Macaca mulatta: one gene and its partners. The protein of the gene in region 1 purifies or fractionates together with the protein of each later gene. This does not show direct contact. Links are inferred from orthologs where the notes say so. Each region holds a gene or a part of one and is shown in the gene's direction. Other genes may lie near its edges.

Region 1 (4,160 bases):
GGTCGCGGGCCACTTGGTCGCATCCCTCCTCCTCGTCGACTTCGCCTTCACCCCAACTGTCCCCCTGAGTAAAGGAGGAATATGTTGGCCCAGCCACAGGGCCCGGGGTCCCGGGACGGCGGCGCCGCAGAGCCGACCGCCACCCGCTCTCCGCTAACGACATGGCGCGAAGCACAGCGAAACCCGCGGAGTATGAGCCTCTCCCACCTGCCCCGCCCCGGGTCCGCAACAGCCAATCCGCGGCCGTGGCCGCTACCACCATGCCTCAGAACCCAGGGGTAAACCACGGAGAGCAAGGTTGGGCGGCGGGTTGCAAAGGAAGTCGTAGGGCCTGAGGCGAGGTGGGATGCGCTTGGACCAGAGCTCGACCCCAGGGCTGTAGCCGGAAGGGGGAGCAGGAAAGCGCGCAGCGAGAAGTGGGCGGAGGCCGAAGGCGGCCGAGTATCCACTCCCTGCAGCGCTTCATCCCTGCCGGACACCTCCGCCACTGCCGCGTCACCAACGGGAGCGCGAGACCCGACAGCCCCAAAGCCGCATCTTTTCGACGCCGGGTCCTAGCGCCCTCCCGCGCCTTCGACACATTCCCGAACCTATTTGCCTTCTCCCTTCTTCCCCTCTACGCTCACACTCTTCTCCAGGTTCCCCTATTAAGAAAGGGCAGCTCTCTGCCTGGTACTCTGGCGGTGCCTTCACTGCTCACCCCATCTCCCTTTAGTGTGGTTCTCCCCACCCGTACCACAACTTCCCTCACGCTACTCGACACGCCTCCTTCCTCCTCCGCCCAGGCGCGCGCTCTCCACCTGGTGCGTACCGAGCTCGAACCCTCTCCTCGGAACCCCTCCTTTCGCCTTCCCCGCCCCCTCCCCTCCGCCTCGAGCACTGCGCGCGCGCATTCGGTCCCAGCCACCGCTAACACTAGAGGCTGCTTACCCCCGCCCCCTCCACCCTACCCCTGGCGGCCTCAGGTTTGTGGGGCGTACGTAACTCGGGCGGGGAGGGGGAAGGTGGCAGACCCCACTGCCCCACCCCCTACGGGGTGAGGCGGTCTAAGCTCGGGAAGCTGGGACACGGTTGTCTTCCCTTCCCCTGGGGAAGTTGGTAGAGTTTTCCCGACGGAGGACTCGGCGCAGAAACTTCCTCCGTCCTCCCCCCGCCCCATGCAGGCGACGCCGAGTGAGGCTGAGGCTGCGGGCGAATCGCCGCAGAGTTGCGTGTCGGCCGCGCATTCTGATTGGACAGCGGGAAAGCCCGTCAGCCTGTTGGCCTCGCTGATCCCGCCCCGTAGCGCAGGGCAGCCTTTAACCTTTAGCCCCAGTGGGCGCCAGCCACTCAGATCGCTTCTTGTTGGTATGTGTAGCGGCAGTGGCCGCCGGCGGAGCAGTCTGAGCCCGACGATGAGGCCGGGGACGGGAGCTGAACGTGGAGGCCTCATGGTGAGTGAAATGGAGAGCCATCCTCCCTCGCAGGGTCCTGGGGACGGGGAGCGGAGATTGTCCGGCTCAAGCCTCTGCTCCGGCTCTTGGGTCTCTGCTGACGGCTTCCTGAGGAGACGGCCCTCGGTAAGGGATCAGTGGGGCAGGGGGAAGGCGGCACAATGAAAAACGGAGTGAGAGAAACAGGAAGCTTTCTCCGAAAGGAGAAGAAGATAAGAGTGGACGAAGGAAGAACTCGAGATGGTGGGATATGTTGTGAGGGAGAGAAGTGGAGGGTGGGGATGCACAAAGAAGGATGTGAGACCCTGGAAGTACCCCGTAGGCTTGGCCTAGACAGATGCGTGGTGAAGGTGCTGGCTCTTGGGCGGGGTGAGCGTCTTGGAGCTTTAGGCCCGATTTAGCTGGAAGGGGGAGGGAGGGGCTTGATTCTGTAAGACTTTAACAGCGGCTGCCAAAATTTGTTTTCATTACTTGTGGGGTCGTCTGCATGGGGAACTGTTAGGACAATTGACAGGAGATAATTAGCTGGTTTTAATTTAAAACATGGAACAATGGACTCATCGGTAAAGAAAGTAGTTGTCTTTTTAAATTGCGTTGAAAGGGATGAATTAGTTGTTTGCATTTAGTGTCCGTGAGTAACAGAACCTCAGTCGTTAAAAATGTATTTTTGACAGAAGGAATTTTACCTGTCTTAAAGGTTATGTTAGGAAATAAGTTTGTTAGGAGTGAATTGTCCCTGGGTGGCACTACTGTTTGTGTTTTATAAGACTGACTTTCACCTGAGTTAATATGATAGAGCATTTTAAAGTTTAAAATCAGTAGTGTTATAAAATAACAATAGCTGGCTATTTTTTATATTTGCATGAAATAGAAGAATTGTTGTTTTCACTGTAACAGTTTTAAGATTAGTATTCAATATGTATCCTCCAAGCTTAGCAAGCCAGTTAGTAGCTGATTAAGTCAATGCTTAAAAAAAAGAGAAAACCTATGATCCAGCTGTCCAGTAATCATCTTAACTTTTCCCGTTTTGTTGCGGAATTTGCAAGCTCGTTTTAAATACTAGCAGAATGCATTTTGTTTAAAACAAGGTATAGATTAATCCAGTGACATTATTATGCATAAGCTTAATATTAGGTTGCTTCAGATAACTGATTTGTTGAAATGAGATTTTTGAGAAGCGTTTAGTATTATTTGCTCATTTAAAAACGTTCGCTGTTTTTCAGATGGGGCACCCTGGCATGCATTATGCCCCAATGGGAATGCACCCTATGGGTCAGAGAGCGAATATGCCTCCTGTACCTCATGGAATGATGCCACAGATGATGCCCCCTATGGGAGGGCCACCAATGGGACAAGTAAGAATGCTTTTATTTTATTTTGCATTTATTTATTTGTTTTTGCCTCAGGTATTCTGTCAAGATTTCAAAATCTAGGTCAATAGTTATAGCTGTTTAAGGATTAGTTTATGCCCGAATAATTTTAAATAAGCCAAATGTTGAATCATGAATGTAATGGAAATTTGAATGTAATGAAAAAGTCTCCTGAGAAATTTACTGATTACCTCAAAACTAAGAATTTTTTTTTATTATTATTTAAAAGTAAAGTGTGCGTCCAGGCTTTTATTTTTAATGATTATTTTTTCAACCATGCCAATTGAAGTTAATGGTCTAAAAGTAAATATTATCTGATACAGCAACATAACTGATTTTGGTAGACCATGTAAATAAATAGAATCTGAAAATAGCAATTGTTTTGGTTTAGAGCGAATTTTATTCCTGAAATATCTTCCTCTGTGTGTGTTGGAGGAGAGTGAGGGAGGGTGGGGGGTTTGTGCTCTATAATTCTGATTCTTCATAGGACAGTGCCAGTAGGTACTTCATTTTCCACTTACACTATTTTTTTTAATGCTTATTGCTTCTACACTCCTGCTTATGAGCTGTCCCTTCCATCTCTAGCATAAATTGTAAATGGACATTTTGTAGAAGTGATTTGGATCAAAAGGTTTTAATGCTGATTCAGTGATTTCGGTAGAACTGAGTTTCTAGAGAAGCATCTAAGAAAGGTAACAGGTTCAGTTACCATGAGTAATTTTGTGCTCCATGTTAAGTTCTATATAGATCTTTAGGTGGCTGGGTTATTTCCATTTGAGTATTTCCATAAATCATCAAAAATTTAGGCTAACAAAATATTTTGGAAGCCAATTTCATGTGATCTTTTGCTAATTAGTACTGTTTGATAATTGTTTAAGCTTTCATGGTTAAAGTTATTGGTGAAATTGCAGTGGGAAAAGGAGCTTGCTATGTGTCTGTCTCTTTTTACTTAACCTTAAGAGTAGAAGGGCTTAATGTCAAGTGATTTTCCTCTTTTTTTTTTAATTTGGAATGTTGCCCTTAATTTTGTTTAAAAAAAAAACAAAAAAAAACCTTTATTCAAAGACACCAGCCCCAAAAGATTCTGCTTGCAGGAGTTCTTTAAATAAAAGAGCCTTTTATTCTGTGACTTTAGAATAACACAAATTTTAAAACTCTCTAGGTGATGGAGAAACAACTTTGATTCCTCTTCTGTTTCTTTCCATCTCTAAGCAGCAAGGAGCTCTTCTTGTTTTCTTGGTAGAGCTGCTCTAACTAGATAATGAGCTTTAAAAATATTTATTCTTTAAATGCTCTGGTTCTTATTTAAAATTAGTTTCTTTCCACAGAAAGATAAAATAAAACAATTTGCTACTGC
Region 2 (3,647 bases), on another chromosome or scaffold:
ATGCCATGAAATCAGTAAAATTATTGAAGGCTAGAAGCATAAAGTGGCAATGTATAACGTCAACATTCTGAGAAGTAATGAACTGTTAGATAGGAGAGAACCTCTGCTTTCTGTTGATTCTGCACTACTTTCTGAGATATTTTTTACAAGTGAATAAATTGAGGATACAGAACTCTCAGTGCTACTAATGCTACTTTATATATTTTTTTATGTTGGTATCTAGGAAAATGAAAATTATTTGTTGGGTATTCCTTGTGAAATAGGCACAAAATGTGAGCTGCCTTTCTGAAAGCGACTATTTTACTTCTTTAAACATTTATTAGAATGACTTTAAGGATGAAGGGAACGTAGTGGTAAATGACAAGATAATGCTTATTTGTTATACATTTACAGGTAGAGAACACACTCTGGTGTGTTCTATAAATATGGAACATTAAGACATTCTTTAACCTCTTAGCATGCAGGTTGTAGTATTGAAAAGAGGTGCTGTTGGAGATGTCATGTGTACTGCTCAATGATCTGAGTATTAAATGAAGCCTTTTATCATTCACTTTTACAGAGGAAGTGCTCTTCAGAAAAGATTGCGTGATAGAGAAAAGGAAATGGAAGCAGATGAACGAGATAGGAAGAGAGAGAAGGAAGAGCTTGAGGAAATCAGGCAGCGCCTTCTGGCAGAAGGGCATCCAGATCCAGATGCAGAGCTCCAGAGGGTAAGATACTATACACCATCCACATGATTTTGTTTTAAGGTTATCATGTCATCTTAAAGCCAACTATGATGCAGTTTAATTTATAGTTAAGGGAAATGCATTTTATGCTCCATGTAACGTGCTATTTTGTGGAACGTTATTAGTACTTTAATTACACAAGTTGTCAGTATTAGTTGATTTACAACTTCATTCTAAACATCCTGCGGATGTCTTATTCATTTGTTTTCTATGTATGTCTTTTTTTTTTTTTTTTTTAATGGAGTCTGGCTCTGTCTTCCCAGGCAGGAGTGCAGTGGTGCGATCTCAGCTCACTGCAAGCAATCTCTGCCTCCTGGGTTCAAGTTATTCTCCTGGCTCAACTACCCAAATAGTTGGGATTACAGGTGCCCGCCACCACGCCCAGCTAATTTTTGTATTGTTAGTTGGAGACAGGGTTTCACCATGTTGGCCAGGCTGGTCTACCTCAAGTGATCACTGGCCTCGGCCTCCCAAAGTACTGGGATTACAGGCATGAGCCACTGCACCTGGCCATTCTATTGTATGTCTTTTTTTTTTTTTTTTGAGACAGAGTCTCACTCTGTCGCCCAGGCTGGAGTGCAGTGGCTGGATCTCAGCTCACTGCAAGCTCCAACCTCCCCAGTTTACGCCATTCTCCTGCGTCAGCCTCCCGAGTAGCTGGGACTACAGGTGCCCGCCACCTCGCTCGGCTAGTTTTTTTGTATTTTTTTAGTAGAGACGGGGTTTCACCATGTTAGCCAGGATGGTCTCGATCTCCTGACCTCGTGATCTGCCCGCCTCGGCCTCCCAAAGTGCTGGGATTACAGGCTTGAGCCACTGCGCCCGGCCTATTGTATGTCTTCTAATGCCACTTTGCTAGAATCTGTTATTTCTATAGTTGAACCTGTTCTTCCTATAATTTGCTCTGACACTTACTTTCTGCGATTTAAATTCCTTCTCTATTGCCATTCAAAGTATTTTGTTTTTATTTATTTATTTTGAGATGGAGTTTCACTCTTGTTACCCAGCCTGGAGTGCAATGGGCGTGATCTCGGCTCACTACAATCTCTGCCTCCCGGGTTCAAGCGATTCTCCTGCCTCAGCCTCTGGAGTAGCTGGGATTGTCTAATTTTTTATGTTTTCTTAGTAGAGACAGGGGTTCACCATGTTGTCCAGGCTGGTCTCGAACTCCTGACCTCAGGTGATCCACCCGCCTCGGCCTCCCAAAGTGCTGCTGGCATTACTGGCGTGAGCCACCGCACCCGGCCAGTATTTTGTTTTTAAAATAAAGCTGTTTCCTTTTTTGTTTTTTGTTTTGTTTTTTTTTGTTTTTGAGATGGAGTCTCGCTCTCTTGCCCACACTGGAGTGCAATAGTGTGATCTCTGCTCACTGCAGCCCCTGACTTCTGGGTTCAAGGAATTCTTCTGCCTCAGGTACCCAAGTAGCTGGTTAGTATTAGGGATTACAGGTGCATGCCACCTTGCCTGGCTAATTTTTGTATTTGTATTTTTATTTTTTTTTGAGACGGAGTCTCGCTCTGTCGCTCAGGCTGGAGTGCAGTGACCGGATCTCAGCTCACTGCAAGCTCCGCCTCCCGGGTTCACGCCATTCTCCTGTCTCAGCCTCCCATGTAGCTGGGACTACAGGCGCCCGCCACCTTGCCCGGCTAATTTTTTGTATCTTTTAGTAGAGACGGGGTTTCACCGTGTTAGCCAGGATGGTCTCGATCTCCTAACCTCGTGATCTGCCCGTCTCGGCCTCCCAAAGTGCTGGGATTACAGGCTTGAGCCACCGCGCCCGGCCTGTATTTTTATTTTTATTTATTTATTTTTTTGAGACGGGGTCTCGCTCTGTCGCCCAGGCTGGAGTACAGTGGTGTCATCTCGGCTCACTGCAAACTCCGCTTTCCAGGCTCCAGGAATTCTCTTGCCTCAGCCTCCCGAGTAGCTGGGATTACAGGCATGCACCACCACTCCTGACTAATTTTTGTATTTTTAGTGGCAACGGGGTTTTACCATGTTGATCAGGCTAGTCTTGAACTCCTGACCCCAAGTGATCCGCCCATCTTGGCCTCCCAGAGTCCTGGGATTACAGGCGCGAACCACCGTGCCTGGCCTTTTTTTTTTCCCTGAGACAGAGTCTGGCTTTGTTGCCTAGGCTAGAGTGCAGTGGTGGAATCTTGGTTCACTGCACCCTCTGCCTCCTGGGCTCAAGTGGTCCTCAGGCCTCTACCTCCTGAGTGTCTGGGACACTTACAAGTATGAGCAGAGTGCCTAACTTCTTTATACTTTTTTGTAGAGATGGGGTTTTCCTGTTTTACCCAGGTTTGAGCCACTGCCCATGTCCTTTTTTTTTTCTTTTTCTTTTTCTTTTTTTTTTTTTTGAGATGGAGTCTTGCTCTGTTGCCCAGGCTGTAGTGCAATTCTGCGAGGCTCACTGCAACCTCCACCTCCCAGGTTCAAGCGATTCTCCTGCCTCAGCTTCCTGAGTAGCTAGGATTACAGTCTCACACCACCACACTTGGCTAATTTTTGTATTTTCAGTAGAGACAGGGTTTCACCATGTTGGCCAAGCTGGTCTCAAACTCCTGACCTCAGGTGATCTGCCTGCCGCGGCCTCCCAAAGTGCTGGGATTACAGGCGTGAGCCACCACGCCTGGCTTTTTCTCTTTTCATAAAGACATTTTACAAGAGATAATGTAAAACAAAAATCAAGTTGAATGGTGTAGAGTTGTAGTTAATCAGATTATTGTTTTGGTTTTAGATGGAACAAGAGGCTGAGAGGCGCAGGCAGCCACAAATAAAGCAAGAGCCAGAATCAGAAGAGGAGGAAGAAGAAAAGCAAGAAAAAGAAGAAAAACGAGAAGAACCCATGGAAGAGGAAGAGGAGCCAGAGCAAAAGCCTTGTCTGAAACCTACTCTGAGGCCCATCAGCTCTGC
Region 3 (3,647 bases), on another chromosome or scaffold:
GTTGAAAAGTATTAGGTAAAACTTTGTTTTATCAATGCTAGCTTTAAATTTGATTTTAAATTATAACTTCTTAATTCCTCCTAATTTTATATCTTTTATCTATTCTGATTTCAGTCCCTTGTAGGAGTTTAATAAACGCCTCCAATATTTCCTCTGTATAAGCAGTGAGTCTTGTTATGAAAACAACAGACAACCTAGACAGTGACAATCATCTGTATTCCCACTCTTTCCCCACAGTAACTACTGTTAGCAATTTGGCGAATGACCTTTCAGCTATTTGTGTGTGTGTGTGTGTGTGTATATATATGGCACATGGAAAAACTATAGATGTATTTGTATAAAAGTGTTTTTTTTATAAAAATGAGGTTATGCTATTTATAGTTTTGCATTGTGCATTTTTCACTTAACATATTGTAGACATTATTTTTTTCAAGTGTATGTAGTCTGTTGTTTGAAAGTATTATGATTTATTTAACCAATTACTTTTTGATGGACTTTAGGTTTCTATTTTCTTACAATTGCACTAACTAAATAAATTCCTCAAAGTCTAGTTATTATACAAACAATATACGTGTTTAAAAAGATGGTAAGTATTGCTTTATTTTTTTCCAGAAGGGTTTTTTTTTCCTTTTTTTTTTTTGAAACAAGTCTCGTTCTGTCACCCAGGCTGGAGTGCAGTGGTGCCATCTCGGCTCACTGCAAGCTCCGCCTCCTGAGTTCACACCATTCTCCTGCCTCAGCCTCCCCAGTAGCTAGGACTACAGGCGCCCGCCCCCACGCCTGGCTAATTTTTTGTATTTTTAGTAGAGATGAGGTTTCACCGTGTTAGCCAGGATGGTCTCGATCTCCTGACCTCGTGATCCACCCGTCTCGGCCTCCCAAAGTGCTGGGATTACAGGCATGAGCCACTGCGCCAGGCCCCACATTCTCATTTTTAGTTTTCAGAGAACCTTCTGGTAGAGAATGCTGCTGGAACGGTGCTGGCACCTAGCATGGTATCATATCTCTTTAGAAGAGAAGTCTGCCCTTTAAAGAGAGAGACTGTAGACTATACCGTGTGTTGACTACAGCCAAATCACAGCATGTGTGAGCGGAAGCCCCAATCCCTTTGTAGGCCTCTACTTAACATTTGTCCCGGAAGAGGGGGATTGTAGTTACGTGCTCTGTGATAGCACATACACGTGTGGAAACCACCTTCGAAAACCTGCTTACTCGGACCAGTCTCTTTAGAGCGGGCAGATCATGGTTTCCATAAGCAAATAATTATAAGTTTATGGATTTGTAAGTGAATGTTGGCCATATTAGACTGGATTTCTTAAATTGTTTCCTCCAAAGTATGAGATTGTTGTTTGGGCCTTGTCTCACAGTTGAAGTTGGTTAACTGTGCCCCATCCTACCCCCTTTTTAAAGGAACTCCATGAGGGCAGATAGTGTATCTTCAAGCAATATCAAAAACCGAATTGGTAACAAATTACCACCTGAGAAATTTGCAGATGTCCGACATCTACTAGATGAGAAGCGTCAGCACTCCCGTCCGCGGCCGCCAGTCAGCAGTACTAAATCAGGTGCTGTTCTTCTCTTGGATTCCTGGCTGGATTCTGAGCTCCAGAAAGCAGACTGGGGCAGAGATAGGTCCCTGAGTAAAACATGCGATCTGTGAACTGATGTAGCTGTCCTGGTTCATTACGTCTAAATTGTGGGCTAGGTGTTGGAAATTTAGGAGATGAAAAATAATCAGACTTCTGAAAAACTAGCTTTAAATATTTTCATTCCAAATAATTAGTTATTCCTTGGTATCTCTGGGGGATTGCTTCTAGGACCCCCTCCCCGCTCCCCTACAGATACCAAAATCTGCAGATACCAAAATCCATTGATGCTTAAGTCCCTCATATAAAGTGACATATTATCTGCATATAACCTACACACATCTTCTCATATACTTTAAGTCATCTCTAGATTATTTATAATACCTAATACAGTATAAATTCTTATCCTGTATTTTGTAAAATTTGTATTATTTTTTGCTGTACTGTTATGTTTTATTTTTTTCCCCCAAATGTATTCAATCAGCAGTTGGTTGAATCTATAGATGTGGAACCCATGGATGAGGAGGGCCGACCATATTTGACTCTATGACACTGGTATACTTTATATCCAGGAATAATAGAAATTAAGTTGGGTGGTTGTCTGAATGGTTAAGAGTTTGAACTAGATCATTTGTATGTTCAAACACTGATTCCGCAGGTCTTCAGCCGTATCTGCTATGTGCCAGACCCTGGGCTAGGTGCTAGGAATGTCAGAAGCCTTTGGAGGAGACGCAGAGCCACCATAGATCTACTAGGGAAATTGCGAAAGGTTTCTCAGTGAAAGTAGCGTTAGAGCCAGGCTTTGGGGAGGGTAGGATCTCTGTTGGCAAACCTGATTTTTTTTTACGTGGGAAGTAACCTGATCTTATATCTGTTTTAGAAAGATAACTTGAGGGTGGAGTGGGGTGGGGTAGAGAGTTAAAAAAGTAACAAGCCTGAACTAGGTCGGTGGAGACAGAATGGATAAAGAACAGGAAGTCTTGTGAAGGAAGACTCAGTGCTAGGAAGCGTTGGAGGAAAGGAGCTCAGGCCTCAGTGACCGGAGAGACCAGGGTGCTGCTCTCCGAGAGAAGCTAAAGTGAGAGGAGGCCTCGGCACAGGGCCTTGCCAATGAGTGTGTTTCTGTTGTTGCTGTCGTTGTGAGAGGGAACCCCAGAGGACAGGCAGATTTCTGGGGGGATTGAGGGATCCTTTGCTTTTTCCAGTCTCTTTGTATTTACTGGGTAAATGTAATACGTTTATTGGAAACTACTTATATGTTCAAAGATTGTGCCTTCCGCTTTCCGGGAGCTCACGGGATTTTTTGTTTGCTGAAACTTTTGTAAATTATTTAGTCTGCTTGATTCTGCTTTAAAAAAAAAATGGTTGTTTCTTCAGAAATTTAGTTCTGGAGCAGTCAGTTGAGGATTTTTCCTCTGACAGCCCCTATGTCCGAATTTTCCTAGGGATATCCATACTGACTACAAAGGAAGACTACGTAGCAGCCTGATTGTCAGGTCCTGTGTCCTCACTTGGGGGGCAGGGCAGGGGTTAGTGCCAGATCCTGTAGAGGTCTCAGGCGGCTGGTTCTGAGCATAAAGCACACACATGGTCACTGGTGCAATTCTTCTCTTTTTTCAGATATACGCCAGCGATTAGGAAAAAGACCATATTCTCCGGAAAAGGCTTTTAGTAGTAACCCAGTCGTTCGGAGAGAGCCCTCTTCTGATGTGCATAGTAGGCTCGGTGTTCCCAGGCAAGATATTAAAGGCCTCTACGCCGATACTCGGGAGAAGAAATCAGGTTGGTAACACTTAAAACCGATGGGAATGGGGATTCAGTGAGAGCAGAGGACAATGGGTGTATTGGAGCAGACGGCAAGAAACAGCCCATGACAAACATAAGTGATTATTCCTTTTCCATTATAGTTATCATCAGTATCAGCATCAGCATCATCTCAACAGTAAGGAATGCTTAGAGCATAGGAAAAAATAGCACACTCCTGGTTCTTTCTGCTTGGCACAAATCTTTTTAGTTTCATGTGAGCTATTCTGGTCTTTGTCCACATACAAGTCCTACTTT

Evidence for each region.
Region 2: the proteins of PRPF40A (region 1) and RBM25 purify together in Homo sapiens (affinity purification with mass spectrometry; 5 studies listed by BioGRID and IntAct, with this or other methods). This does not show direct contact. The link is inferred for Macaca mulatta from reciprocal best matches to the Homo sapiens genes PRPF40A and RBM25.
Region 3: the proteins of PRPF40A (region 1) and NCBP3 purify together in Homo sapiens (affinity purification with mass spectrometry; 3 studies listed by BioGRID and IntAct, counting the BioPlex papers as one, with this or other methods). This does not show direct contact. The link is inferred for Macaca mulatta from reciprocal best matches to the Homo sapiens genes PRPF40A and NCBP3.

What each region holds. Positions count from the first base shown.
Region 1 is NC_133417.1:57,628,279-57,632,438, reverse strand, and holds the start of PRPF40A (pre-mRNA-processing factor 40 homolog A), read left to right. Parts: upstream 1-1,327; 5' UTR 1,328-1,349; coding exon 1,350-1,559; intron 1,560-2,656; coding exon 2,657-2,788; intron 2,789-4,131; exon of another isoform or gene 4,132-4,160. Other genes in the region: ARL6IP6 (ADP-ribosylation factor-like protein 6-interacting protein 6), read right to left, coding at 1-163.
Region 2 is NC_133412.1:146,280,275-146,283,921, forward strand, and holds part of RBM25 (RNA-binding protein 25), read left to right. Parts: intron 1-559; coding exon 560-710; intron 711-3,471; coding exon 3,472-3,647. UniProt on the Homo sapiens protein: RNA-binding protein that acts as a regulator of alternative pre-mRNA splicing. Involved in apoptotic cell death through the regulation of the apoptotic factor BCL2L1 isoform expression.
Region 3 is NC_133421.1:5,298,906-5,302,552, reverse strand, and holds part of NCBP3 (nuclear cap-binding protein subunit 3), read left to right. Parts: coding exon 1-15; intron 16-1,410; coding exon 1,411-1,565; intron 1,566-3,206; coding exon 3,207-3,368; intron 3,369-3,647. UniProt on the Homo sapiens protein: Associates with NCBP1/CBP80 to form an alternative cap-binding complex (CBC) which plays a key role in mRNA export. NCBP3 serves as adapter protein linking the capped RNAs (m7GpppG-capped RNA) to NCBP1/CBP80.